Alligator mississippiensis: one gene and its partner. The protein of the gene in region 2 binds, or shares a complex with, the protein of the main gene of each other region. Links are inferred from orthologs where the notes say so. Each region holds a gene or a part of one and is shown on either strand. Other genes may lie near its edges.

Evidence for each region.
Region 1: the proteins of TNFSF13B (region 2) and TNFRSF13C are in contact, whole or in part, in a crystal structure (PDB 1OQE), measured with the Homo sapiens proteins. The link is inferred for Alligator mississippiensis from reciprocal best matches to the Homo sapiens genes TNFSF13B and TNFRSF13C. Residues at the interface, in NP_006564.1 of Homo sapiens: Ser162, Tyr163, Asp203, Thr205, Tyr206, Ala207, Met208, Gly209, His210, Leu211, Thr228, Arg231, Cys232, Ile233, Pro264, Arg265, Glu266, Asn267, Ala268; in NP_443177.1 of Homo sapiens: Asp26, Leu27, Leu28, Val29, Arg30, Val33, Leu37, Leu38, Arg39, Pro41, Arg42.

The regions. Positions count from the first base shown.
Region 1 is NC_081827.1:96,810,499-96,826,634, reverse strand, and holds the start of TNFRSF13C (tumor necrosis factor receptor superfamily member 13C), read right to left. Parts: upstream 7,235-16,136; 5' UTR 7,105-7,234; coding exon 6,978-7,104; intron 6,424-6,977; coding exon 6,226-6,423; intron 560-6,225; coding exon 234-559; 3' UTR 1-233. UniProt on the Homo sapiens protein: B-cell receptor specific for TNFSF13B/TALL1/BAFF/BLyS. Promotes the survival of mature B-cells and the B-cell response.
Region 2 is NC_081824.1:356,269,517-356,284,113, forward strand, and holds the start of TNFSF13B (tumor necrosis factor ligand superfamily member 13B), read right to left. Parts: upstream 5,810-14,597; 5' UTR 5,647-5,809; intron 4,222-5,646; 5' UTR 4,150-4,221; intron 699-4,149; 5' UTR 683-698; coding exon 230-682; intron 126-229; coding exon 20-125; intron 1-19. UniProt on the Homo sapiens protein: Cytokine that binds to TNFRSF13B/TACI and TNFRSF17/BCMA. TNFSF13/APRIL binds to the same 2 receptors. Together, they form a 2 ligands -2 receptors pathway involved in the stimulation of B- and T-cell function and the regulation of humoral immunity.

The DNA of each region.
Region 1 (16,136 bases), on a different chromosome or scaffold from region 2:
ACTCTGCCCCAGCTATCATAGGGAAAAACAAGGGTAAGTTGGCTTTGCTCTACAGGGGTTCCTGATTTCAATGCGGGTGTGAAAGGGAATATATAGAAGGCAAAGAAGGCTGACCTTGCTTCAGACTAGTTCTGATTCAAGTCATTTTCATGCAACACCTTCTGCACTCCAATGCAGGCAATTTTCTCATCTGCATTGTGAACCAGCTAGTGTCAGCCCAACTTTGCCAGTTCTCAGGGTCTCTCCTCATTTGGAAAGCTGTTTTGAATGGTTTTGGTGGTCACCAGGACAGTGGCCCCCAGCTCAGTTGCTGGCAGTGGAAAGCCATGATCCCATTCTTCATTGCAGGGGGACAGGGCAGAGAGATGAATGACATCATTTCCCACACTCCCCTGGTAGGCTAGTTTCCACTTTGAGGTTTCTCCTCTTCCAGTTGGCCCAGCTGTCTTCAGGGAGCCATTCAGATGTGGGCACGTGGCCAGAACAAGATCATCTTCTTCTGGAAGCTTTGGTCTTGTACAGGCCTGGCTTTCAAAGGAAATAACACAGTCCTGATTTTCTACAGGGAAAGGAAAGAGATGGATTAGTAAGGTGTCATAAAGGTGGGGGTAGACTGCATGGTACAGGGCACAAAGGCAGGAACCTTCTGCCACAATATCCTTATGTGAATCATGCAAAATGAAGCTGGAGTGGTGCCGTGAAGGAGGGGATTACAAACCTAGGGGATGTCATGAGTGGGCATTCCCCCTGCCATCAATAGGCAGCTCCAAATGCCCTCTGGCTGTCAAATCCTGCACCCCCAATATCTCATCCTTGCCCCTGCTGTCAAAATATCCTTGTACTTTCAGTGACAAATGGGAGATGTGTGGCAAGGAAGAAATCCTGTCTTTCATCCCCACAAGAGGCCTGGTGTGCATTAAAGAAGTTTTGCCAACAGATTCCAGTTCAGCCTGCTGACGGACACCTTACATCCACATCCAGAAGAGCTTCAGGCATTTGCCGGGCAGGCACTGCATGTAATTTACCCCAATCTTTTAATAGGGGCATGAACTGGGATAGCCAGATTTGGAGTAGACTCAGACAATTGCATGCAAAGGAAAATGCAATGTGCTGGCACAGTAGAAGCTTGGTGAGCCAACCAACAACTATATCACCTTCTCCAGCAGACATGGGGGCCCTGCCTCAGCTCCCAGACCTGCTTCTTCAGAGACCTGCACCTCTCCAGAGAATCACTACAGAGGAAAGGAAATGAGGGACCAGCATATGCACTGGGGAGATAGGAGCATGTCTGAGGGAAGGATATACTGAGGCAGGCTCTGGATGGACACAGGTTATAGTCTCAGTGAGCAGGATACCCAGTGAGATTGCTGTTTGAGAGTCTGTGGAATACAGAAAGTGCATTTCAAGGGTGGGGGGGAATGGATGAAGGGGGTGGAAATGTAGAAGATGTTTCTGGGGAGGCTAGTACTTATGGGGGTGCGGGTGAAGAAGCAGAAAGGTGGACACTCAGTCAGCATATAAAGGAGCTTCATCACTTCAGGAACCTGTTTTCTATCATAGATAACAACTGCCTCCGCTAAATCCATTTAAAACAATTAAAGGGTGAATGCAGAGGCAAATCTGCCACGAATTCAGAGGGCGATGATGGAACAACCAACTGCATTAGCATTGACTGATCCCTCTAATGCAGACAAGCCTCCAAGACAGCCATCAGTCCTTCCAGTGGTGCCATGACTATTCCTCACCAGCACTTCAAAGCCCATTCCTCTGCTGGACCCCCACATGCCCAGTGCCCTCTCAAAGACAGGAGGTAAAGAGGCAGATGGCTCTCTGGAGTTACGGCCTCAGCCGGTGTTCCCCTGCAACCTCAGTTTGCACGCCACCTCTTGCTTTGGAAAAGAAAAAAAAGATTTTTGCCTCAAATTATTTTTTGTTTGCTATTAGGGAAGAGAGATTTTCTTCCCTATAGTATTAGGAAGAGAGATTTTCTCCTGAAAGTATCACTTAAAAATAGAATTGTTTATGCACCCAAAATACGTGTACCTGCTCTGATGCTGAAACTTTTGGTTTGGAGTCATATGAAACTTTCTTTATGTGCAGAACTGAAGTGGCGTCTTTCTTGGTGGTTAGGTCTTGGGCTCAGAGTCAAAGGTACATGCAAATGGAATACCTAATGTGTGGGGCCTCATTCAAGGATGTCTGAACACAGAATATTTGATTCTTCATGCTTATCGCCTCAACTTGTCATTTCCTAACTTGTTCACGGTTAGATTTCTTTTAGAAAAATCTTTTAGATTTCTTTTAAGATTTCCTTAACTACATTTGATAAAAATTCCGCCTCAAAACTGAAAGGCTGCAAATGATTTTTCACCCTGGCTTTCACAAATACTATGAGGAAGATAGCCACGTAACCAGCAACATCATACTGGGACCCACAGGGCTGGTTTAATCAATATGCTTTCCACAGGGAATTTTCCTGTTCTTCCCCCACCGCTCTCTCCCTCCATCTCCAAAACCTTGGCTTTGCAGAAACTCACAAGCAGAAGCAGAAGGGTGAAAAATACAGGAAAGCACATCTACATCTCTCCCCGGAAGACTCTGATATGCTCAGAGATGTGAAATGAAGCGTAAGTTTCCGAAATGAGAGCATGGGGTTGAGTCAGCGATGAGGCATGGGCTTCCTAGGGGAAAAAGACATGGCCACACCTTGCTATGGCCATGTCTTTCCATCAGGGAGCAGTACACCTGAGAAAAGCAGAAGGAAGGTCAGCTATGCCCCATCAGGAGGGGGGCGGGGAGGACGGAGCAGGACACCTGTCTTCCTGAAAGTGGTGTCATTAACTTTTCATGGTAAAACAGATCTGCTGAATGGGGGATGGGGTGAGGTGGGGAGTTAGCAAATGAAATGAGGACAGAAGCCAAAGAAAGGAAAAAAGGGGGAGCAGGAAGCCTCACAGTAATGGCTGCTGCTCCTCCCCCAGCCACTAATACCCACATATGCTCTGTGCTGGGGGACAAGAGTTCCTCCTGCTCCTCTCCTGCTCCATCCAAGCCCTCTTCAAAGACCCAGGAGTCAAAGGAGGAATGCAGTGGAGCATGCCCTGTGTCCTCCTCATCCTCTAGCCTGATGGCTGATTCACTCCCCTGCCCTTGGTTTCTGTTCCCCTTTCCCTGATGGCTTACTTTGGGTTGGCCCTGACCTATAGCCAAGGGTAATGAGAGAAAAGTTTAAAAAAAGGGAAAAACATAGGTTGGGAAAAAAATCTGGGAACCCTTTCAGACTGTGAAGAGAATTATCCTGTAGAGTGCCATCACAGGGGAAAAGCAGAGGTCGGTGGCTTGGGACAAGGTTCTGGAGAACACACTGCAGGGAATGGCTCCCTGGGAAGGGAGAGATGGGCTGATGGGCACTCTTTTATTTCTAGATTCTCTGATAAGCACAGAGCTGGATGTTTCTGCAGAAATGATCATCAGCAAAACAGTGAATGAAAAAAAGACTGAGGCCTATACAACTACCAGCTTTACTCACATATTTATAGTGCCTATATGCCTCCATTATTGTTTTTTTAAGATTAGACTCCACATTGTCACCTTCAAGTTTTAGAGCAGTGATTCTTAACCAGAATGCCACGATATCCTTATAGATTCATAGATTCATAGATGCTAGGGTCGGAAGGGACCTCAATAGATCATCGAGTCCGACCCCCTGCATAGGCAGGAAAGAGTGCTGGGTCTAGATGACGCCAGCTAGATGCCTATCTAACCTCCTCTTGAAGACCCCCAGGGTAGGGGAGAGCACCACCTCCCTTGGGAGCCCATTCCAGACTTCGGCCACTCTAACCGTGAAGAAATTCTTCCTAATGTCTAGTCTAAATCTGCTCTCTGCTAGCTTGTGGCCATTATTTCTTGTAACCCATTATTTGGGTTACAAGAAATAAGGTTACAAGAAAGGATCTCAAGGTACCCATCCTTGGGTACCTTGAGATCCTTTCAAGGGTGCTGTGGGATCCCTGGCAAGGTTAGCACTGTTAGGTATGCATACATGATTCACAAGATAAACCCAGAGCTTTCAAATAGCAATCCATAGTGTCAAAAGCATGCTAATCGGCTGTAATCTTTCTGAGTTCTTTGCAACAGAAGAATGGCTCCAGTATTTTCCTGTAGTCAAAAATCAAGTGAAAACTAAGAGTTGACATTTTCCGAGGGCTGCCTCAAGTCTAAAAATGTTGAGAACCATTGCTTTGGAGCCAACAGTCCATTGAGATGGAAGGGATAGCTCATGCCTCTGAGAGGGACTGATTCCTGGGCAGTGCTCAGAGCCCTAAACTCTCGCTGTGAATTGAGAGTTCCTAGCTTCTTAGAGGGCCAGCCTTGTAAACTATGTTGTTTTTTTTATCTGCAGACCCAGGTCCATTTTGCTGCCCTGGACACATTCAGAAAATTTTCTTTACAGAGAAACGGTGCAAAACCTCAGGCCAGAATTTCAAATCCTGACATCCATTTGCACCAGTGCAGCTTTGCAAACATGAACACGTGTTGGCAAAAACGACAACTTTTCTATTGAGTTATGAGCCATTTTGTAGAATCAAATAGCAGTTGATAACTCTGCAACCAAGTTTTGTAAGGCATTTCACGAGACTGTGGAAAAGCTCTCCTTCTCTGTTCAAGTCTGTCAGTTTCTAGAGTATTTCCACATTTCCTACAGAACCCTACTGCATTTCCATGGAGCAGCCTTTGTAACAAGTAAGAGAACTCGTTACTCTGTGAATACAGATAAAAGTATGGAATATAAGAGTTGGACAAGGTTTGTGTCCACAACATTTCAGCTGGGTTGAACCTACTTTGGAAATGTCACTCTTACTTTTTGAACAAAAGCTTTAAAACTTCTGCCTCAAATTGGCAGATCTGACAGAAGAAAGCTGGAATAGTATTTTGCCCTGACTTATCTCACTCAGAGTCCTGGAAGATCTTATCACCTTATGAATGGAGCCCAATTAGTCACATTAGTTTATGGAGGAGAAGGTTAAGAGGCAATTTAACCACTAGGAAGCAACTAGGCAGGAAGAATTTATCAGATGCTGGAGGGTTCTAGAGCAGCGGTTCCCAAACTGTGGTACGCGTACCACTAGTGGTACACAGACAACCTGTCAGTGGTACGCATTAACAGATTTATTATAATTACTTCATATGATAAAAATTTGCTGGTGGCACATAAGGTTGTATCATTTTAAATTGGTGGTGCACAATCTGCCAGAGTTTGGGAACTGCTGTTTTAGAGTAAAGAACCCTCTAGCATCATACATTTCATAGATTTTTAGGGTCAGAAGGGACCTTAGTAGATCACTGAGTCCGACCCCTGCCCCGGGCAGGAAAGAGCACTGGGGTCAGCTAGGCCTATGACCTCTTAAAGACCTCCAAGGTAGGGGAGAGCACCACCTCCCTTGGAAGCCCCATTCCAGATTTTGGCAACCCTCACTGTAAAGAAATTTTTCCTAATGTCTAATCTATATTTGCTCCCTGTCAGTTTATGGACATTGTTCTTAGTAACCTCAAGAGGTGCCCTGGTGAACAGAGTGTCCCCTATTCCTTGCTGCCCTCCCTGATGAATTTTTAGATGGCTACAAGATCCCCTCTCAACCTTCTTTTGCTGAGGCTGAAGAGATTCAGGTCTCTCAATGTCTCCTAGTAGGATCTTACCTGCAGGCCCTTAACCATACAGGTAGCCCTCCTCTGGACCCTCTCAAATTATCCAGATAGCCTGTTCTTGCACAAGTTAACCAAAGCAGCCACTGGAAAGGGACTAGATCTGGACCACGTGCACTGCGAGAGAAGCAGGGTGGAAATGGGTCTCAGATATCTTCTTCCTGCCTAGAAGACAAAGGCCTAACAAAATCCAGTCGTTTGAAGAAAAAGTCAGCAGAGTGTATGCTGCAAGTAAGGCACAATTTTTTAAGTGACAGTAACGAACCATTGGAAAGACTTCAGGGGATGTGAAAAACTGTCCTTCATGCTGAGTCTTTAGTCAATTAGGACAGAATATCTGTCCAGTGATAGCCCCTAATTCAGCTGCAAAGGGTTGGTCTTGACAAAGATACTACTGGTTGAGGTTCTATGGCCTGTCATGTAGGAGATCAGGCTAGAGATGGTCCTGAAGGTCCTCTCCAGACCCTGAGTCTGTGTGTGGGAATACATCTATGAGACAAGGGAGGGACAGGAGACACTTACCCTTGGATTCTTCGTTTGGTTTCTCCCTTTTCCTCCGCCTCCTTCTCATTTTCCAAGTAACAAATCCCCAAACTGATGCCAATACCAGGACTAGCCCCATGAGAACAGGGATGCCAAAGATCAAAACTGGGCTTAGCATGTTCCCTGAAGGATGTGGGGGCAGTTGAGTTGGAGTGGGGCCCATGCTGGTGAGGTCTCCTGTGGAAGGAAGTAAAGCAAGGCCAAGAGCAGTGAGGACTTAAAGGCAGCTGTCTTGCCACTTATCTTGGATGGCCCTAGCTTTGAGGACGGGGGCTAGGGAGTTCAAACACATGGGGTAGCTCCAACATTTTCAAAGCAAGAAGGACAAACTGTCTTCCCGACACTTGCCCATCCACCACACACTGAAGTTCCTCATCTCCTTCATCTTCAAAAGGGTCTTTGCCAGGCTGACGCACAACCATAGCAAGAGGTGGGGAAACTTGCCCCTTGCCAACTTTCCCATTTCCATGGGGGCAGGGGTGGCAATCCTCTCATGTCTTCTTGAGTGTTAGGGCTATATACCCCTTTCTCCCCATCCCACTTTCCGGCCGGGGAATGACTGTCCTTTCCCTCCTACCAGGAGAAGCAGCCCACCCCCTTAATTCTTTCCATCCCATTTCCACTTCTCCCATCCTCTGTGCAGTCCCTGGGATCCCTTTCCTTTCAAATGGGGCCCAATCCCCACCACGGGCCCCAATCAGGGGATGCAGAGCCTGCTACCCTCCTCTCACTTGTGTCTGTGTTGGAGATCCCAAACAGATGGCAGCTGAGGCATTGCTTGGTCAGCTTGTCGAAGCACAGGTCCTGGGGACAGTCAGAGCTGATGTCTGCGTGTTTGTTTGTCCAGTCCAATGGCATCCTGGAGTCAGATTCAGAGCTGCGGTGCAGCGCAGCAAGTTAGGCAAGTGCCGCCCAAGTGTGAAATCACGAACTCTGTGGCCTGTCAGAGGGAAATACAGTCTGTCAAGCTGGGTCCGTCCCCTGAGGCTTCTCTGTGCTTCCCCCAGGGCGTACCTTTATCTGTGGGAGGAGAAGAAACATGCATGCTGAAAACATCAGCCCAGCCTGCCCATGTAACACCCCGCAGCCAGTACTCCTCCCCTCTGGGCCTGCACTCCCTTCGCTCAGCTCCTCCCCCCTCCACCTTTGCAACTCCATCTGAGCCTGAACTCTCTCCCATCTGGCCAGTGTACCCCATAAACCTATCCTGCTCCCCAGGGTCAGTCCTGCAATGCCTTCTCAGCATGCCCTCCCCACCCTCTAGCCCATTCTCCTCCACTGCCCTGCCCATGAAAAACTCCCTCAGACTAAAACTATCCCCCACCTTCATTTGCAATGCTCCATCATCTGTACCCCCCCACCTGCTCAGCCTGGACAATGCCCCTCGGCTTGTACTGCCCCCACCATCAGCTCCAGCAGTGCCCCTCTAACCCCATACCAGTGTCTCACCCAAGTCTCTCAGCCCCTTGCCTCCAGGAACTGAGTCTTAGTTGAATGTACATTTCATAAAATAATATGAAGTAAAACAAGCTGCAAGAACCCAGAGGCTTTCCCCTTTGAGTCTCCATCCCTTCCTTCTTCCCACCCCCAAAAGAAAAGCTTTAGGAGTGTTTAAAGGAAAGATGTGCTAGGTGTTAAACAGCCAGCACTAAATCCTGTCTCACTCCTCCCACAACCCTCCAGGATGTGGTTCTGAACATCCTCTTCATCCAAGGGTCCTCACCTCCTTGGAGGAGTTCATGTGGGTTGCATCAGGTGGTGTGAAGTATCACATACTAACTATACATTAGCTGGTAATGTTGCAGCATTTAGTAATGATTGTACCTTGCAGTAATTGCAGTAGTTGCAAGCATTTGATCAGAAGATGTAAGCCTTGGGCTAGCGAGGGAAAAATTCTAGCTGTCCCATGCTGGTTGACGTCAGCAGATCCAGCTAGCACTAGCAAAGATATCCTCCCTCCCTCTTGCTCTATTTTATTCTTTTTTCTAATTCTAAGCACATGCCACACTGACAACATTAGCAGTTTAACTCTCTTACTTTCTTTCTCATTACTTAATAAGCCAGGGCTTTCTGGAAATTTAGAGCTTGTATATAAGAGCAGGTACTTAGCAGATACAGATACTTAGACATACCATTACCTTTTACATAAACTACATTATATTTAGCTAACATATTATAACATCACCTTTGCATCCACTCCTATGTTTTTTCTTACATGTTATCCCTCTCCCATTTGCAATGACAACCCATTTCCTGCTGTACTGGGAACAGACTTTTGAAATAAGTAAAAAAGTCTGTTTCCATAAACCAACATGTTTTTCCTGTCTAATCCCATGTGCAACAAAATGCATTTCTCCCATGTCTGTTAGCATGCCAGGAGGTGCCAACAGTATTCTGCTTGGATTGTAGGGGTCTAGTATATGATAAAAGTCTAGATCTGAAGACTAGGGTAGCCAAGATTTACTCTCCCTTGCGGGTTGTAACCATGTCAGAGGTGTGCGCTTGGCAAGGAGAGGGAAAGGCAATAAATACCTAAAGAGATATTACCTAATTTACTGCTGAACACTCTGCACAACCAAATTATTCTTCTTTGTGGGTAGCACAACTGCTCTTACTCTTCTAACTGCTGTGTGTGAGAAGATGATCCCAGGGCCCTATTCAGAGATATTGATCTATAGCACAAACTCCACAGAGAAGTCTAGACTACACAGCAGAGGATCCTTTTGGTGTCTCAAAAAGCATCTGCACGAATAGAAAGTAAATGCATCTTCCATGGCACCTAATTGGACAGAAGACTTGTTAAGTGAGGTATTCCCAGGGAGAACTGAGGAATTATTGTGTAGGTGGGACCAAGGATTCTCGCAAGGCCAGAGACCTGACTGGTCTCTTCCCAGGGGAGCAACCTAACTTCTTGGGCCACATCCAGATGAGCACAGATGTGTGGTAAGTGGCACCGCAGACCTGTCTGTGGCACCACACATGCAGGTGTTCCCCGTGCTGCTACCCTGCAGCATGAGGGGTTTTTTTGACCGTGGGAGACCTTGTGTCTAGTCTATTGCCCTACAGGACTGTTGTACCTCTATAATCCTTCCACAGCTCTTTGGACTATACTCGAATAGGTTACGACCACCTCTTTGAGATAGACTTAATGATAGAAGCGTACCCAATCCACTAGCCACTCAAATAGAGCCAAAGCCAGAGAGCTGTCTCTGAAACTAGTATAATCCAAATGTGGTAGCAAAGGTCACTATTTCCCTGGACTCTGGGATCAAGGGCAGTTGCTACTGTCCCTTGGCCAAGACCAGAGTGGTTATACATGTGACCTGTTTTTAGTCTTTCCAATGTCTTATCCACCTGAAGCATGGGACAGACATTCAAGTTGGACGTTGCATTTACTTTCTAAAGCCAATGCAGACTCAGATAATCTTACCTAGCTACAGAACCCATATAACTGGGCTGCTCTTAGGCTTCTCTGTTCTCCTAACTGGAGTGTACTCTTCGGTTCCTTCTTCACTGTGTTGCACAGCGGTTCAGAGATTCAGAGCTGCCCCTTCTGAATTAGGCTCCCAAGCTTAAGGTGGATACAGAGGTCCAGCAAATGAGTCTTCTTTAGGAGGGAAATAAAGACATCTGGTTCTGATGTCTGTGGCACCTGAATCCTGCTTTTATATCACTAGGTGGACAAACAAAGCTTCTGTCTTTCCTGGTTTCAGTAGATTTACATGCTGTGTCTGCATACTGCTTCCCTCAGCTATCATAATCCACTTTTCCTGTACAATGTAAGACCTTAGAGAGATATTGGCTTTCTGTAAACAGCTTGCTCTCAGCTAAGGGGAATTGTGGAAAAACCCTAACCCAGGGGTGGGCAAAATGTGGCCCATGGGCCAGATGCGGCCCGCCAAGCCATTCTATCTGGCCCATGGGTCCCCTAAAAAAATTAGAAAATTAATATTAATTTGCCCTGGGTAGCCTGTCATGCAGCCCTCGATGACTTGCCAAAACTCAGTAAGCGGCCCTCCACCCAAAATAATTGCCCACCCTTGCCCTAACCCCAGACTGACAGAGCCTAAATTTTGCAATTTTGGTACAGGATTAATCTTGGGAATGCAGGGCATACTGCAAGGTCTCCCAGCAAAGGCCCCCGCCAATACCAGTACCTGTGGAATGAGATAGGGCGGGGAAAGTCAATGCCTTTGGGACCTTGGAATCTGGTTGTCCTAGGGGAATGATTCTGGCTTTTGTTACTTTGTGTTCAGATAATAAACTGTGACTTGAAGCAAGAGCTTGAAAGAGATTTGGATGTTGCTCTGGCTTGTTCTTGGGATAGTGAATGAATGAGTCCACCAGCTTGCCTGGGGATGTGATGGGGTATGTGGCCTGCTTCCCCTGCCCTACCTCTGGAAAAAAGGACATATTTAGTTCTTTTCCAGTCTGCTGACCCAGGTGACAGGCAAGTGCTGTTAACCTTTTCCAGGCTGTTTCATCTTCTCACAGTATCTTTCCTCCAATTTCTTCAGAGTGCCTGTCAGCCAATACCCCCCTCTCAACCTATCCATGCATCACCCCCTTAGCCTCCACACGTTACAGTCCTTTCAAGCCCCACTCAACATGTACACACTTATATTCCCCAACACCAGCTTATCTCAGGCCACATATTCCCTGGCTTGACCAGACCTTCATTCAACATCACGTCTTGCCACTGAGTAACTCTTATTAAAATGTTCACCAACAACAGTTATACAAGACCAGGCCACCACATTGGAGAGTGCAACCTCTCATCACTAGTCAACAGTGGAAAATTAAGATAATGCAAACAGTGACATGGAAGGGGAGTCGCTCATGGGAGGATGTGATGGGAACGAAGGAGCCTCCACATTGGATCAGACTATTAATCTTTCTTCTCCAGTATCCTACCAGGTTAAACAAGCTGTCTCCAGCAGGCTGTCTCTGGTCAGCCTGACTCAGACCATGATCTGTCTTTTCTGGTATCCTGCTTCTGCCAGATGGGATGAAACAAGAAGGTCATTTTGTTGAGAAGACCCTTTGTTCATCCAGTTTGGTGTCTGACCGTGTGGGGGAAGCATACAGGAGTATGACGTTCTATCCTAGCCCTACTGTGTGACGTGGGACTCTCGTACTTGGTGCACCACAGCAGTGGAACTAATAATACCTCCTACCTGTCTCCAAGAAAGGCTTTGGGTTACCCAGGATATTATACACAGCAACAGGCCACTAGTGTTATATCCCAGCACTTGCTTTGTCTGAGCCAAGGATTGACCTCCTTTGTCCTCCTCTCCATTCTACCTCTGGAGAAGAGCATTACTTGCTGAAGGAGTCCAAGCAAGTGAAAGTCGAGACTAAAACCCTCCTTTGGTCACTGTCCGCTAGTCCCACATCTCATGTAATTTCACTTCCTTTTTCACTTGAAAATATATCGTCTCATTCTCTGGGCTGCAGTTCTCACCTCCCCCTTCTCAGCTGGCTACTCAGTTTCTGTTAAGCCTCTTGCTTTAGCTCACTCTGAATGGACTTCCTTGCCAAATTAAGGTTTGTTTTCCCCTTAGATGGGTCTGCAGATCTCCTTTTGGTATCTCAGTGGTGGTTTCTGTGCTTATGTTTCAATGCTGCACACAAGTATCAGGAAAACTAGAACTCTCGGCATGGGCCTGGGTTTACTAAACCACTCCCCTCTCTGATCTTCAGAGCCACAGGTGCCTCAGAACAAAGTTGACTCATGTGCAACATCACGTGTCTTTTATTTGTCTGTGTTGAACCAACTTATTTTGCTTCCTTTTTTTCATCTACCCAGCCTGTGCATTTAAACCACACTCTTCTCCCGGCCACTGAAGCACCTTCCTGCCTGTTACTTTGAATTTGCAACTTATTGGGCTGACAGCTAAGAGTTAAAAAGGGGGCGAGAAGAGCGATGCTTTCTGACATTCATCTAGATTTCCCTTTGGTCTGTCTCATCCATACGGCCCCAGCTTTATCTTCTCAGACCACCTGAAATAAAACCCCACAGCACTCAGAATTGTCCCACATGCAAGTTTGGTTTGGTTCAGTTGGAAAGGAAACATAGCAGAAATATCTCTGCAGGCCTGAGGAAAGCTGGGAGGGATTCTTGCATGGTTTCTCTTGCTCTGTTGCTTGGATATGAGGATATGCCCCTTTCCTGCCTTCTGCACTGTTCTCCCCTGCATGGGTATCCCTGCTGAAGGTCAGGACTGTCAGGTGGGTGCATGCTTTTTTCCAACAGCAGAGGGCATTGTGGGCATGCTTTTTATTGCCTTGATGCTACACTCTTAAAGGAGCAGGGTGAGTGGATGGGGTGGGAAAAGGACTCCTCCAAAATCATGTGCTATAGTTATGAATGTAGGATTGGAAAGAGCCTGCCAGGCCATTAAGTCTAGTCCTCTGCACTCACAGACAACCACTGTAAGAGCAGGGAATGGTCAGATGATCTAAGAAGAGGACCATATCCTGGGCTACAGAGGGGGCATGTCTGCATGTGCTATTAAGGTAAAGCTTATCACGCTGGAGTTTATTGCTTCTGGGCGCACTGTTTGCACGTGTGCCCGGGACTGCAACACGTTGAGCTGGATTGGAGCAGCCCCAGCTGGCAGGGGACTTATGGAGGGTGGGAGGGGAAGGTCAGCTTGCTAGCCCGGGGCTGCTCCAACCTGGCTTAATGTGCTACAGAGGGGCTGGCTGGTGCACAAGAATGCTCCAGTGTGGGGCTAGCCAGCAGTCAGTCCTCACACTGAATCACCCTTGTGCCCCAGCCAGCCCATATCAGCATCTACAAGTGAACTGCTACAAAGTAAAAAAAACTCTGCAGCAGGATAGTAGTTGTTTTTACAAGTACTACACTGCTGCAGAGTTAATTAGTTTCCTGCAGCATAATAGGGTTGCACGTGTAGATGTGAGACATTTACTGCAGAGCTAATTAGTCTACTCCACAGTAAATGCCTCGTGTAGATGTGCCCAGGGAGGCCCCAAAATCCCCTTCAATACAACCTGACCTGGCAGAAAAAAATTCCATCCTGACTCCAAAACTGGCAATTGGTTTGCCCCTGAGTCCATGAACAGAGCCCTCTGGGAAGGTACCTGAGAGGCTGCTAAGTACCAGCAGAAGCACCAGTCAGCCCAGTTGTTTGGGTTGAGGGGCAGTAAAAAGAACCATTCTGACCTTATACACTTCATCCTCACACACAACAATTTCACTTTTAATAACCAACACTTCCTCCAGACCATGGGAGCAGCTATGGGGACCAAAATGGCCCCACAGTATGCAAAGCTTTTTATAAGCCACCTGGAAGGACGACACCATCAAACCCTTGCTATACTTAAGATATATCGATGACATCAGCATTTGGACTGAAAACCTGCAATCTCTGATTGAGTTCCATCAGAAATTCAATAGTCACCATCCCTCCATCTGACTATCTCTTGAATACTCCAGCACCAACATCTCCTTTTTAGATATGATGATTAGTATCCAGAATGATAAAATACAGGCCACATTACACAAGAAACCCACAGACCAACATACATACCTGCACAGAACCAGCAATTACCCTAACCACACCAAAAAATCTGTGATATGCAGCCAAGCCCTCAGATACCACTGAATTTGCACTGAGAAGAACACCCGGGATTGCCACCTCACCAATCTTAAAAAGACCAAACAAGCACACTCCTCCAGAGAGACAGATCGCACGTTTGAAAGAGCCACCCAGATACCATGTGAAGAATTGCTGCAGTACAGAAGAAATCACGCGACAAATCGCACACCGCTGGTTATGACCTATCACCTCTCCCTTGAATCCATACGGAAAATCCTCAAACAATTGCAACCCATACTAGAAAGAGACCCCATTCTTAAAGAGATCTTGCCAGAGCCACCCATCCTAGCCTTCAAACAAGCACTGAACCTCGCTAACTTCATCACCAGAAGCAAACTTCCTCAGGCCCAGAACACACCAAATGGATCCAGACTGTGCCATGACAAGAAATGCAAAACCTGCCCCACTATTACTACACCCCACAACAGAGCCATCAGCATTCCCGGATCTTACAGCTGAACCTCCAGAAATGTAACATACCTCATCCAATGCACCAAATGCCCTGATGGAAAATAAGTAGGAGAGACCAAACAACAACTGAACACCAGAATGAACCCACACTGGAAATCTATCAAAGACAGGAATACCCAATTACCGGTGGGGGCACATTTCTCACAAGAAAACCACTCTCTCTCCAATCTCTCAGTCCTGATCCTCAAAGGAAACTTACACAACACTTCCCAGAGACGAGCCTATGAACTCCATTTCATCAACCTCCTGGATACTAAAACTCATGGACTAAATATAGACATTGGATTTATGGCACATTATAACCTGCCTGACATCTGACTCCCCAGGTACTTCTCCGCTATTCATCCCCCTTCTTTCCCCACCACCCAGGCTGTCTCTTACACACTGACTCCTCAATTTACATCTTCGCTGACTGCCTACCTTGTATGCATACCAGCGCAGTCTCTGGCTTCTTTACTTTTCATTCCATACTTTTCACTCATCCCCAGCACTGCTAGTTCAGAGCATCCAGACATTGTGAATCAATACCTCCCTGCCTCAAATCACATGTCCGAAAAATAATATTTAAATATATATATATATATATATATATATATATATATATATATATATATATATAAAATGGGTTTTTCCTTTGTTTTCGAGCTGCTGAGGCTTTAGGGTTCTTCTGGGTTGTGTTTTCAAGGTTTTCTCCACACCAGGAGTGCTAGCAACTTAATCTAAGCATAAGAGTGATTAAGCACTAGAGCACTGAGCTACTATGCTTAAGATACATCAGCTTGTAGAGTCAGCAGCACATAAAGGAGTGGTATGTCAAGAGCATCAGATCCAGCTGTCTTTGACTTCCCAGCCTAAAAGACTGGGTCCCTACTTACAGCCAGTTTTATGGACAGACTTTGGCATGGCTCAAACCCATGCCTATGGAGCTGTAGTAAGATGCCTAAACCACTCTGCTACCATGCACCAGCAAAGTTCAAAGACAGAGACTAGGAAATGAAAACCATTCCTGTGGGCTGTGTGCAGCATGTCCAGGGCTGTAGTATCAGCACACATTGTATGCCACACTTCAGAGAGCCAGGCAGAGATGGACTTACACATGCCCCACTGGTGCAGTGGCTCTGTTAGAAGTAACAAATCTCTGCTAGAGCCCTTTCAGAAAAAGAGTCTATTGCCAACAGCAGTAATCCAGCCCCAGCTTCAGAACACCAAGCCCAACATGTTTTCACTAAATAGTTACTCCAGCAGAGTCCCAGTGTCTCCGTATACATGTATGTATAGGCATATAGGTACCAATATATATGAACATATACATATGTGTATATGTATATATACATACATACGCTGATTTAAATCCTGTTTCTCAAGCCCTTGGATGTGCACGTAGGGATCAGAAAAAAAAAAGATAATGCCCTGGTTCAGTTCAATGACACCATCACAGCCATCCTTATTAGTCATGTTCCTGCCTCACCCACGGCTTTGGGGTGATGCAGTGAGTCAGTTTAGTAGGCTGCTTACACCCATATAATGATTAACTACATTGGTCTTCAGAACCCCTTCTCTGAAAGTATGTATCAGCAAGCAAATAATTCAGAGTTCCTTTATCTTGCATTAATTATACTTCCTCTTGTCTTCACCAAGAGCAACATTTACCTACTACCAAGCTGGTTCTCTCTACCCTGACACTCACACAGTCCATTTGTTTCTATTCTGTTCCAATTGTCTTTCTCTCAATGATCCCAAGCCCCCCATTTCAGTATCTTCATTTTCCTCATCTCCCTCCACCCATCTCACCCT
Region 2 (14,597 bases):
CTCCCCCCTTGCTCCATACCTGTTTCTTCTGTGGGTTGAAGTGACCGTCTCTCCCTGCTTCTACCTTCATTCCAGCCTTTCTTTGGGTCACCTTCACCTGCCTCAGAAGCAGGCAGCCTGTTTTCCTAATGATGACAAGCAAAACTATAGCAATAGAAGCGGTCCAGAATGCTTACCCCCTCCTCTTCCTGGCAGTCAATAACAGGTCTGAGAGGCCACTGAAACTCACCTGCTTGGTACTTGCTGCTATCTGCAAGGAGGAGAAAGTAGGGATATCCACTTTATGCTTGTCCAGAGATACCAATGGCTGGGTTAGTGGTGATCTTTTCTGAACCTTGTAGATCAGCTCGCTGCGGAGAGTTGCTAATTCTGCTTTCAGTGTGATAACATAGTAAAGAGACACTGCTGCAAGACAAGAGGACAGGAGCATTGCAAGCCACAGGAATGTGACAGAGAAAAGTCCCTTGTTGCTCAACCCAACAGCATGGGGGGCAGGAGGAGAGGAGTTGGTATCCTTCTGTTGGACGGTGTGCAAATAGTCCACAGATTTCATCCTTGCACTTTCCTTACTAAAGTCAGAGGGAATATTCAGTTGCAGCTTCTTCTGAGGTATAATCCATTTTGTCAGTTGCACTGTGAAACTAAGGGCATCCAGAATAAGTGACCAAAACGGCCAGATCATTTCCTGTCATATGAAGCTGTTGATACAAACATTCAAGTTTAATGAACAGGGTGAGTGTCTGTCTAAGATCCAGTCTCCCCTTAGTTTTCTCCTTTCTGCTCTGCATTTTGGCAATTCATATTTGCCATCAGACTGCTTGCTTAATCTACCTTCCTCATTTTTCTTTCAACTATTAATTTTTATGGCAACTTGCCACTGCCTTTATATTCAGACACAACTGATACCAGTTATATCCTGCAGCTTATCTAACAGGGCAGAAGAAATGAAAGGCTTACTGGTAGGGTGGCATATTCTTTCTGATACTAACTGATATAGTATAATCTTTAAACAAAGAAATCTGTTATTTTTCTAAGAGTGGAAATACATCTAGGCAAATGAGATAATTCTTATCATCAGGAGGGTAGGGAAGAAAGGCTACAAGACAAAAAGTTTCCCAAGTGAAGTGGCAGTGTTGCCATCTCATCAATGATAGAAAGTTGCAGGCTCACAGGTAGGTAGAAAGTTCAATAGTAGAAAGTTGCAAGTATTTTTAACAACTTTATTTCTAACAACTTGAGAGAGAATAACTTAGTACAATTTATTGAATGCATTTTTTTATTCTATGATAAGAGTTCAAGCATTTGGACAAGGGATTATACCAATGACTGAGAAAAGAACATAGAGCAGCTAATTCCAAACATAGGAAATAAATGTAAATCTACCTGCTTCATTTTATAACAATTTTATATCAGTCAATTTTCAAGGTCCTCAATTATCTAGCTGAAGGTCTAGGCGTAAGACTCAGGAATGAGGATTGCAGTTAGCGGTTTAGTAGAACTTTCTGTCACAAGGCTTTCTCTGGGGTGGATCCAAGACTATAACAAACACCTGTGGGTAGTAATCTCACTACCTTCCACTGGTATGTGAAGTGTGCTTTTTTTCTCCTCTGACCTTGACTTTGCATTCTCCAACACTGCTGCATAAAAACATTCTAAGTGTACATGATAAAAAAAAGAACAAGCTATTCATAACTGATGTTAAGCATATTAATATACTAGTGCAAGGTGCTCAGATGCTATGATCTGGGTGCTAGAAGAAAATTCTATATAAAAACCTTAGTCTGTCTGTCTGTAACACTTTATTTGCACTCTGATTGGTTGTCTTGGCAGCCAATCACAATGCTTACTGAAACAACCAATCAGAGCGCTCTGCACAGAGACACATGTGGTGGAGCACTGCCATGACAGTGGGGATGGAGGCTCCTTGGAGGCGGCACAAGGTGGGGTGGGAAATGGGGTTGGGACCATGGTGGCAAGGGGGAGACTGGGGTCAGACCCACTGTGGCAGGGGAATGAGGCAGGGGGTAGAATGGGCCTGGACCTGAACCACCGGGGGGAATGGGGTTGGGCCCAAAGCGATGGGGGAAGGGGTTGTAAGGGAGTAATCCAAAATTACTAACAACTAGCTAAAACCTTTCTGGGATGTTTAACTGAAAATTTCATTTCATGAAAAAAAAAGCTTGCCCATGGTCAACACAGAAAGGTTGTGGTCAAATCAGGAACTGAAACCAAAATATGCTGAGTTCCAGTACAGTGCCATCACCACAAAAGCATTCTTTCTCTGTAGGAAACTTCATTATGAGATGTACTTGTTTTAACATGAATCTTGAATAAGAGGGTGAGATGACTCATGCATTTGAAAGATGGCTCGGGGATAACAATCTAAGGGCGCATTCACACATGCAAGCACATGCGCTTGCAGCAGCTCAGATAGAAGCGGTACAAGTTTGAGCCAGGGATTTTTGCCTCAGCGCACATGCCCAGACATGTACTTTGGTGTAGGGTAAGTTGTGCCACTTGGGGCAAAATAACCCTGCCTGGCTTCTCCTGGATTTGCAGCCAGGGCCAGCACCTGTGCTGTTCCCATCAGTACAAGAACCTGCCCTGACAAGTAGCTCAGGGCTACTCCCTCTCAGGGACTTCTGGGGCCCAGCCAATTGGTACCTGTGGACACTATCCCTTGTACCAGCTGGAACAGCCCTGAGAGTTCCCTGTACCCTCTACCCACTGCAGCAGTCTGGCAGTGGGGGCTACTGCCTGACTGTGACCTGCTGCACACCTGCGACCCAGATGGGGATGGCACAGCCAGTAGAGGCACGTGCACCTCTGGGCCAGCTGCCAGTGGGCTGTGGCTGCAGGGTACTACTACCATGTGTGCCCTCTACCTGGCCATCTGGGCATGTATCGCCTGGAAGATGTTCCCAGCATGGTGGCCTGCTCTGAACTGTCAAAGCATATCCTTCTGACCCCAAGTGGCCAGGAGGTCAGCTACCTCCATCTGGGTCCAAGGTTTCAGCTCTGAGCAGGCAGGGTCCTGCCACTGCCCTCCCTAGCAGGAATTCTGGTGTTCCCTATTGGGAAACTGAAAAATCCCTGATAAAAAAATCCCAAAGTCACTCTGTAAAATACCCTGAAATCCATGTTCCTCCACAATTAAAACAAATGACCACTATATAGAGTGAGACACAGAGATCAGTTGGGCAATGTTTTATTGATATATCTACAGTGTTAAAGCAATTTGGACGCTTACTAGTGTCTCTATCATCAGAATAAAATGAATTCTAAATACCTATATGTTTTGTTGCCCCCCACAGGAGCCACAGTCCCCCCACGGGGGCCAAATGGCTCCTGCAGGGGCTACTTCTCCTGCAGGGCCCACATGCCCCACCCCCCCAGTTGCTCCCCCAGCCCCTCGGATTGCTGCCCCACCTGGCCCAATCCCCCGCCAGCTCCTGCAGCCCCCCAATGGCTGCCCCACCCAGCCCCCAAAACCCCTGCATGGCCTGGCCCCATCCCCTGCTTGCACACCCAGGCCCCTGATGCTTGCCCCTCCACCTCAACATGGGCAGGCAGCGTGCTTCAGCACCAGGGTGAGGGCCAGCCATAGAGATGTTCTGGCTGCTACCAGAGCATTTCTGTGTAGGACCCAGCCTTCAGTTACCTCAGGGTACAGCCCAGGACCATGCCCTGCCCCACTTTGTTCCACTGCGGGTTTTTTGACCCCTGGATATCCAGGGGTCTAATTTTGCCCCTGTGCTGCAAATTTGCAGCACAGGGAATGTTTTCTTGTTCCTGCACATGCCTCTTGCAGCATTTCAAAGGAGTTTGAGACGCTACATGATGCACGTGTGCGCTCACCTGGATGAGCCCCAAGAGTTTAAAAACAAATTTGAAAAATATTTATTTAAAAAAAAAAGGGGCGGGGGGGAACATGTCAGTGCTATTATGTAGATTAGGCATTCACTGAAGTCCAAGCCAGGCTACAGTTGTACTCCATAAGCAGAAGGATTAATAGACATTAAGTAATACAATACAGCATGGGTTCCTCTATAAGGGTGTAAAGCCAGCCTGGCCTACCTGGGTGCACAAGATGGCACAAAGCAGCAGAGATACCAGGGGAGGGATTAGAAAAGTGAGTATTCATCTTACCAAACAGGTTATTCCAAGTACTCTCTTGGGATGCCTTTATTTCCAAAGTGGTCTATCAGCTTCTGTCCATATCTGATACATTTGTTCCCCATAAAGAAAAGAGGTTATATTTGCTTTGCTCCTACTTAAGAGGCATATGCAGAGTTTTCTGAGACAAAGTGCACATTTCTGCTAAGGTGATTCATAGCACCTTCAATCATTAGCAACTGCCCACATGATACACAATTCAGGAAGTCTCCAACTCATGCAGGACCTGGCATAACGATGAAACTCCAAATAGAGCCATCTTGGCTGTGCATTTTGCATATGTTCATTTTTTAAATCAATAACCTTAATGCTGGCAGTGAGTGGAGTGCTGCCCATACGTTTTAGGCAAAAGCATGTAATATATTATTTGTTTAAAATAAAAAAATATATATTTTAATTTTTTATTTAAATTATCAGGTTAATACACATATATAAATTATATCTTTTTCACCCTGCCTCTTCAGTACTTTTGACACAGGACTAGGCACAGTACATTGTAGATAACTGAAGAATAAGAAGTGTAAAGGAGCCACCCATTTTGGTAGCATTTAGAGAGAGTAATATAGCAAAATAACCCATAACATAGCCAGGTTCAAAAAGAGCATACAACTTCCTAATTCAAAAGTGATAAGAAATTTTGTACCAAATTCTATAAAAATCAGGATCAATACTGAATATGCATTTCTTTTTGGACAGTAAAATGTGGTTTCCTGGCTTCTCTGCTGTACTTTGTGTAATGCTATTTTATTCCCCTTTGTTTTTCCTTCTTTCCAACATAGATTCTAGTATCCCACTTACCTCCTTCATAAAAGGCATAGCACTTAGTTCTATTCAGGCTGATTGCAATAGCAGTTTTCTCAGAACCTCTTCTCCTGCAAATGCAGGACTATTCCTTGTTATTCACCCCAGTATACAAAGCAAATTGATGGACAACCTGCATCTACTAGCCCATTGAATGCTTGGTAAATGTGGCTATTAGAATGGATTGAAAGAGAAGGCAGAGAATAGAACAGAAAGAGGAGAGATTAGAAAAAGACTAATATTGAAAACTGGGGAGGAAGGGGGATTGGCAGGAGGCGGGGGGGGGCACAGAGGAAGCAGGTTACAAACAGAAAGTAAAACAATCAGAGACATTTGAGCAGATTTATATTTTGGAAGTTTCCATTTAAAGGAAACCCCTAAGTCCATTTGGCTTGAGCTGGACAACACAAAGCTTATCATGGCCTGAATTATGAGTAGTTTCATACTCAACAGCATAAAAAAAATATGGTTGCATTTCTCTTAGACCTTCAGCACTGCTGAGCTAAAAATGAGTTGATAACGTGATATAAACAAGAAGCCCTCCTGTGCCATCTGGAAGCAGATGGTCTCCCAATCTCATAGGCCAAAGTACTCATACAAACCCATTAGCAGCAGGGAGCATAGGTCTCAGGGTCTTAGTAGTGCCAAGGCATAACATTATATACTCACAGCCAGATCTTTCTATACACTGCTGCTGAGTCGATGTGGAACAGAAGTTGACTGCCTCTGTGTTGCCTTTCACTTTCAAATTTTGTAAATGGTTGGCACAGTGAGCTGGAAGATAAAACAGTCTTTGCCTGTCCAAGACAGCAGGTGGAGTTAGTTCCTTTGCTGCTTCCTGAATTGAGAGGCAGTATTTATCTAGGACATTGAACATAATGCAATGATGTCATTGCACAAATTATTTATCTTCCTATTTTTGAAAGTTTGCACTTTCTTGGGGTGTAACACTAGGGTTTTTATTCAAAAGAAAGCCTGCAAATCCTAAACACAAATACACAAGTGCCAAAATGCCTAAACACACAAAATACCTCATGACATACACCCACGCACAGCCTGAGGCTGACAGAAAAGTAAACTTCTCCCATGTCAGTGTGCGCACACATTTTTATACTTCCACTTACTAATGGCATATAATCATGTTGCCATATCATGAAATTAGATTCGAAGAAAAAAAAAAAAAGAAGCTATTTCCAAGATATTCTGATGCAACTAGTTATTTGGGATTCCTAACTTAAAACATTTAAGGAGTCTTTTAGGAAGACTCGAGAGAAAATAAAACCCTTCAAACAGTTCCTCACACTGAATAATTAATATCGGAGACCAATTAGTACCTCTAAAAAAATCCTGGTCCTTATGACTAGGTACCAATTTTTAAGGTACTGGGATTTACATTTTTAACCATATTCAACATAAACAAAATGATAAAGATATTTTCAACATTAATTTGCAATGAATTCCATGACCTAGAATTCCCTAACTCCCAAAAGTGCTTCCTTCCCCTGATTAAAAGCCACTCCTAGGGCCCTGGCAAATATTGCAATATGTGTTAATCCAGGATAGAGCTGCCCCCTGCTTGATCCCTGGAATCAGGCTGGACAGTGCCTCAGGTGCCAATATGGCCCTAGCAGTTGCATGATTTGGATTAAGAATTGTTATGCTTTATCCCAAGCATCAGATGTGCATAGCAGGACACATGATGTTTGGGATGGGGCATGAAATTCCTCAGATCCCAATTGTGCCCTTATTTTCACACCTGCCAGGGGCATTAGTGTAGTTATAAAATACTTGAAGGGGGGTGGGGGACAGACAACATATTCATGACCTGTATGTAACCCTGTCAACACAATACTTCAAGTTTCAAATATTAAACATCCCAGTCTTACGCTGTTTAATCAATGCTGTTTCATTTTAGTTATAATTAAACTACCTGAAAAAGCAAACCAGATGACATGCCCAGATATTTTGAATGCACAAGACAGACATAACCACAATTATAGATACTGTCAACAGGTTTTTCTACTGAACAGAGAAAAGGTTTTGAGAAATACTCAAACTCATGGTTTCCGACTATGCCTTATTCACAGACAGGCAGCTCTTCACCCTTGTTTTGACTTCTCAGTAGTGCAGCCTCCTCCGAATTCATGTAGTGCAAATATTATATTCCTTTTATCTAATGTTTCTGTTGACTTAATTTGTGCCATCTATATATAAATACATTTATCAGCCTGTTTATCACATTGCACTACTTATATTGTATACACACATTGCATGCATGCAATATATAATTTAATGTAGTAGTACTGAAAGCACGTATTTGTATACATTTAATAAGAACTTTTACATCCTCTTTTTATATTTTAAAAGTATTCAGTATTTAAATATTACGGTAAATGGCTTTTATGAACTATGATGTATAGTTTCATTGCATCCAGGTTTTTTATATGTCAAGCAATCCAAGTGCCTTTTATTCTGTACTTGATAAAATCAATTGTCTAGTAATTAAGTGTATTTAACTACCTTTCAAAAATTAGACCTAGTTCTTCAGGGCAGTAGCTATTTACATTACCTGTGTGCATGAGGAACATTCACAGCAGTATTGTGCATTCAGGTACAATGTTTTATAAGTGACACAGCTCTTCCTTGCATTTATCCTTTCATTTTACTTTTATAGTTGTTTACCTTAGAACGAAATGGATGAGAATTTTGGAAGCTCCAATAGCAGGTTTCAAGTTTCTGTTCTCCATGAGCACATTGACATGAGACATTTACTGTGGAGCTGCCTGAACATCTCAGCGTCTACATATGAGGTCCTATTAGACTGCAGAAAACTAATGAACTCTGCCAAGGGTTAGTACTTGTAAATACAAGTATTGTCCTGCTGCGGCATTCTTTAGTGCACAGCAACACATGTGAACACACTGATGGGGCTGGCTGGGGCATGAGTGTGCTTCAGTGAAGGGCTGTCTGCCAGCTAGCCCTGCACTGGAGCACCCTCATGCCTCAGCAAACCCCTCTGCAGCACGTTGAGCCAAGTAGGAGCAGCCCTTGGACTGGCAGGCTGATCCCCAGGGTCCCCTGCCAGCCAGGGCTGCTCTGACCCGGCTTAACATGCTGCGGTCCCAGATGCACATGAAGACAGTGCCCAAGAGCAATAAACTCCTGGTACAATATGCACCAGAGTTTACTGCTCTGTGCTAATAGTACATACATTTAGATGCACTCTCTAGGTATGAAGAGAAATGGGTGAAAGTAGTACTATGACCAGTTTTGTGAATCAGGAGAGAAAAGCACCAAATTTATTAAGTGTAGAGAAAAAAGAAAAAAAACAAAACAAAACACTCTATCACTAAATAGCTGCAATGAACAAAACTAACTGTTAGTCACTTTTTCTGAACTTAGTGGCTTATCAATGATAGTATAGGCAGCCAGATGTACCTTGAGATGTACCTTGAGGCTAGCCTGATACAAAGAAGACTGAGAGAAAGGTAAACTGCTAAGTAATGGCTAATTGAATAATAAATGCATAAGCTTTCGTGGGCAAGATACTATGAACGGATATATGCAGAGCAAGCTATAAAATAAACAGTGATTTAAACACAAAAGATGAAGTGAGCTCTTATTCACAAAAGTGAAGTGGTGAACTGGAACAGAGATGCCTAAGGTTCGTCTTTACCTTGCTTTCTGCCTGGCTTCAAGCTAACATGGCTAACTACCACTCTCTGCTCTACAATATCATAGTTCTGAGAACACATTAAGAACAAGAAAAGCCTAGATAAGACCAGGTATATAACTAGCAAATTTTTAACTGGTCTCAGGATGCTTACTCCAAAGGTGACTTAAGAGGTTTTTACATTGGCTTTGTATTTTCACCTCATTTTCAAACCAGTTCAAGTAGCAAAGTATTCCAACAGGTCTCAGTCCTCTGGGTAAGATGGAGACAGCCTAAATCAGAGGTTGATAACCATTTTGGCTGGAACACCAAACATACCCCATGCCTTGATTTGGCATGCTGGGGCAGACTGGGGTGAGGGGGTCACAGCCTGATCCTCATTGCTGGCAGCACCTGCACATGTGCCTCTGGGTGAACTGTGAGGGAGCAGGCCAGGGTTGTGCTGCCTCGGCCCCTTCCCTACCCTGCGACTTAGATCACAAGTGCAGTTCCCACCAGCCTGGAGCCCAGGTAGCTATTTGCAGCCTGCCTGCTGCAGCTGGCTAGAACTCAGGCTGGCTATGGCAGACAGCTGCAAGGCTGCAAACAGTTGCATCAGGCTCCAGAGCCTCAGCACCAGCTCCAGGCTGGTGGTGGGTGCACATGTGACTCCGGGTTGACGGTGAGGGAGGGGCCTAGAGCAGCATAACCCCAGCCCTTCCCTACCGTTTGCCATGAGGTTTGTGTGCAGCTGCACTGCCCCAGAACCCAGCCAAGAGTCCTGGAGCAGCTGTTTGCAGCCTCCCATTTCCCTGCCATAGCTGGCCAGGGCTCTGGGCAGCTGCTGTCAGCCATAGAGCCCAGGCTGCTTGCAGCAGGGCTTGGGACCTCCCCGCTGTCTGATTGTGAGCAGCCCAGGCTCTATGGCTGGCACCAGCTGCCCAGAGTGGGCTGGCTATGGCATGCTGAGCAAACTGGCCTCATACCATGGTCTGGCATGTGTGCTGGGGGTTGAAGATGCCTGCACTGAATCTTTTTGCAAATGTAATAAGGTGCAATGGATGGCCAAGTCTAGATTCAATACTGTTACTTTCAGAGAGGGAGGCCAAGTTATTAGGTTCAGGAATCAATGTCACTAATTTAGTAATTGATTTACTATCTTCCTCTGAAGTAACAGAAGCTTTTCAAGAATCTGGCATCCAACATGGGCAGCCTCTATCCTCTAGGTACATTGACTTATTCAGTGAATCATTTCAAAATCTCTGCCTGTTAAACACACAGCAGTTACCATACAATCAGAAGACTACATTCATACTGAAGACAGGTCAAACAAATAGGAACAAGACATTAGTAGCACTTTTAATGTATCAATTTATTGCATATGTCAGTACATAAAAATAGAAAATGTGTTTTGTAAAATCAATTGTATTGTAAAAACCAGAATAGAATGAAAGTGTTTGTAAAAACTGCCATGGTTAGCACATATACTGCAACATTTATGCTTAGTTTACAAGATATAGAATTAAAAAGTTCTTTAAAAGAAACTCCTACTTGAACTGAATAAAGAAAAAAAAAAAACCAGAAGAAAATGCATCACTTGAACATTCTGAGAGTAATTCTGAATTTGAAATATCAGTTTTATTTAAATACTGAATATGATTCTTGCATATACTTTACACTTCCGCATGGTTCTATTGTAAACTATATGGACTGAACAATATTATAAAACTTACTGTCAACAGGACATACTAATCCTGGTTTGAGCCTGCCATGTGCAGGAGGCACTGGTATTATTTTTGGCAAAAGTGCCTCTTGCACAAGTTGCACATTAAAAAAAAAAGTGATGAAGTGAAATATGAATGGAGATATAGGTACATCTCTGCTAATTTCAAATGCCATGTCTTGGGATTTGAGGGGTTCAAAAATTCAGCCTGGTTTGTCACCACAGAGCACCCAAGATTGACATCACCGATTAGCCAGGAGATGCTGACATGCATATTATTTCATACTATATAGATGAATTCATCCCGCTCAATATATATCTACCCTTACAACTGGGAGATTGTCCACAAATATCAAGTGTCAAATACATTTGTGCTATATTACTCATAATTTTACCTGAGAACGGACATAAGGGCAGCTATATTAGTCGTTTTTTCCTTATTTAAAATTCCAGCTTATCTTTGTGTTTCACAGTTTCAAAATTTGGGGCTGGGAAAGTGTAAACATGGATCAGTAGACAGTCATAAGTGTTTCCACAGATTAGAGCAAAAAGGAAAAAGTGCTTGTGCACTGGGTAACTTTTCACAATGACTCTATTAGCAGTTAGTCTACTTTGTCCAATTCATTTGAAATCTATCATAAACCTTTTATAAAAGACTGACACCATCCCTACTTTTAAACCCAAAGGTGACTGTGTAAATCCTGTAATCATGGTCCTCACTTCTCAAACATACGCATAATTCATACTTCTCATAGTTAAACACATACTCTTTCATATTTTTCCCTAAGATGGTATATTCTATCTGATGGTGGCCACCCTGCAGCACAAGTGCCATAAATGGCACGAGGCAGCTTGTGTGTGTGGCATATGGCATATCAGAGAGGGAGTAGCAAGCACAAGGACAAATAGGGCAGGAAACAAAGCAGCACAACAGGCTAAGCGGGGGAAGGGGAGTGGCATGGCACTTGGGAGGAGTGTAGAGCTTACCTAGAGATATGCCAGCCAAAAAAGGTTGGGTCCCACTGTTTTATACAAATGAAAGCTGGCACAGATTAAGTTGTCTAATTCCTACTGCATTTTTCAATTAACATAGCTAACCATTAATCTGACTCTTGGCAGTTTTAACATATTATTCAGTCTTCTAAACAACTATCCATAATAGCTGCTGCTTAAAACTTGAAAGTCACTAGTAAATAACTTGTTACTGTAAAGTTTGGAAGTGTGTATGTGCAGACAATACCCTTCACTTGTGACTGACTGATGTTCCAGCTGGAAAGGATTCCTGGCAAAAATAAAAAAAAAGACTAATTCCCCACTGTGCTACCAATAGAAATACCATTTACAACATTACAGAAACATTAATAACACTGGTTTATGTGCTCTCCATCTCCCTTCCCAGAGATTTCAAAGCCTATGGTTGCACTCTTACTAAAATTTAATTTTTCATCCATGCTGTTCAATACGACCACTAATGCCACCTCTAAGACACAACAAAGGATGGAAAATTAGTGTGTGGTGCTGGTGAGTATCTTGCTCCTCAGTGTAATAACCCTATGCATATAGGATATGTTCTTATGCCTATATATTCATGACAACATGCAGGCTTTCGGTTTTACTACTGGAAATCCTACAGACACTAAAGGTGAGAAGGTAGGGCTTGGGGGACCAAGGATTGTATAGAGAAAGTGCATGGCATAAACAGGTCTAAATGGTCATAAATCTTGGTTTTCTTCCTCCCAACCATAAACTCCTATGCACAAAAACTGCTCTGACAATTAAGGGCCCATCTAGGTACTACCCATACAATGAAAGCATAAAGAGCCCTTTGCAGTGTCAGTTTATACTGAGGGGGAAGAAGAAAACAAAAGCCAATCGTCTCATGTTAGAGTTTAGCTTCTGCCTTGTAAACCCATATTTTATGCTGAGCGTACTCATTTAATCGAAAATCACAATAGCTCTTGAAACAACTATTTACTGAGCTGAATTTATACCTTTTCATGAATAATAAACTGCATGGTCAGTTCTACTGCTAAAAAAGCAAGATAGCAATGCTTGTCCCACTTAAGTGGCTACAATATATTCATTTTACTTTCTCTTGGGCTTTACTTAGGTTCAAATCTAGATGGTTCAGGGGGAAGAGCAACAAGGTGTAGGAACTATGTGTTGTGACTATTAGAATACACCAGTAAAATGAATGTTATGATGCATCAAAACCTTTTTCTGTGCAATTGTTTGCTATTTCTACATAATACAGGAGAAAGAAAAAAAAGGCATGCCACACAATACTGAAAGAGCAGGATACCACAAGGAAGTCAGAAAATAGAGCCAAATCAAACTGTAGCCAAAGAAAATGTAGAAATATTTTCATGGTTACTCAAGGAATTGTAAGGGCTCTTAGCTGCATCACTACAGAAAAAAAACAAAACACTTACCAGGTAGATGGGCAACAATATAAGACACCACACACCTTTGTTTAAAACCCAGGAAGGAATACTTCTGAAAGTTACTCTGGAACAGAAGGGCAAGGATCTTTGTGGGTGTTATCCCTGCATGATGTATATTTCCTGGATCATCACTCCAACACTACCACTACTCTGTATTACAGAGATATTTTACTTCTACAGTCAGTAATTTTTTTTTTTTACAGTCAGTTAATTATGTATCCAAGCATGTGTAGTACCTTGTACTTCTAGTCATAGAGCACCTTTTCAGGAAAGCAGCTTTATTTATTGATGTCAACAGAATTTAAGCACAGGCTTAAATTAGGACAAAATTAAACATGTGATGAAGTGCTTTTCTGAATGAGGGCTTACCTGTAATAACAAAAAGGCTACATTTAGAGAATTCACCCTTATGAGCCATTGTATTTTAGCATGAAAAAGAAAAAAAAAAAAATCCTTTTTCCATACATATTTTTCTTCCATTAAACTATTTTTGACCAAGCAAACTGATTTAATTACTTGCTGCAGCTAAACTAAGTAAGGGATTTATACATATGCACTAGTAAAAGTTAACCAAACTGGAGAGATGGCTTTGGTGCATTCGTTTTGTAAGGCTCCTCACACTCTGTGGTCATAATCAGGCTCTCTCACTTCATGATTCAATATTGTTGACAATAAGAGTGGTTACTATTAGCACTGACTCTTAATATAGCTAAAGCAATTCACATTTGTGTTGAGGATACAAATTGCATGCACACTGTCTGGTAGCATTTAGATAATTTAGGAAAACAAGTGACTCAAGTATTAAATAAAAGCTGTCTGTTTTCTAGACTTTAACAAGCTAGGGTTTGTTCAATGCTTATTTACACTGTTGCTATGGTATGGGTAATAATGGTAAATTAAAACTAAAAATGTACTTTATATAGCTTCTTTTAGAGATGGAGGTGAAGGGCACAGATGTAATTTTTAAGTTTGCTTACTTTTAAAAGTCAACCAAAAGCATATTTCTACTTCTTCCATAGTTAGCATTGCTCTCCCCAGTGTTTTTCCTTCCACTCTAGGCACCCATACCTGAACTGATCTGATGCTGTATATAATGTCAATCAGAAGCACATTCAACTAACAATGGTTAAGAAGTGGGAACAGTCAGTTTAGCAAGTCATACCTGGATTGTATATTTTATCCCTTTTTTGCCAGTTTTCTTTTTCTGAATGCAAACTATTCTGAACAAAAACTATCTGCCTCTGTGTAACTGGTATAACTTTATAGATTCTACCAAAATAGAAATACTGAAATGAATATAGGAAAAGTAGCTTTTCTTCTTGACCTGATTTGTAATATATTACATCATAAAAATAGATTATACTTATGCATATACGATCCTGAATTATTTCTCTGTCATGAATACTATTTACATTACTTAGCACATTAAAAGTCTCCATCTTCGATAACAACGCAAGGAATAAAACACTACCATGCATGGTATACTTAAGGTAAATCTTAGAAATGTTACAGAACATATTTTGCTAACCATGATTGTCCAATCAGCCAATACACAGAGCAGAGAATACTGAAGACCCTCCTGTTATCTCAACCTAATGTCATTTGTACTAATGTAGTAACAAAATTGTAATAGCTTCCATTGTATATACTGAACAAATGGAAGATATGAACAAACATATAAAAAGGTATGGGAAAGACATGTAGAAATGTTCACTCACAATGCTGCAAAATATAAAAACTACCTGGAACGTCATAATAAAGTATTAGACCTTTCCAAGTTTAATTCTGCTCATTAGGCAAG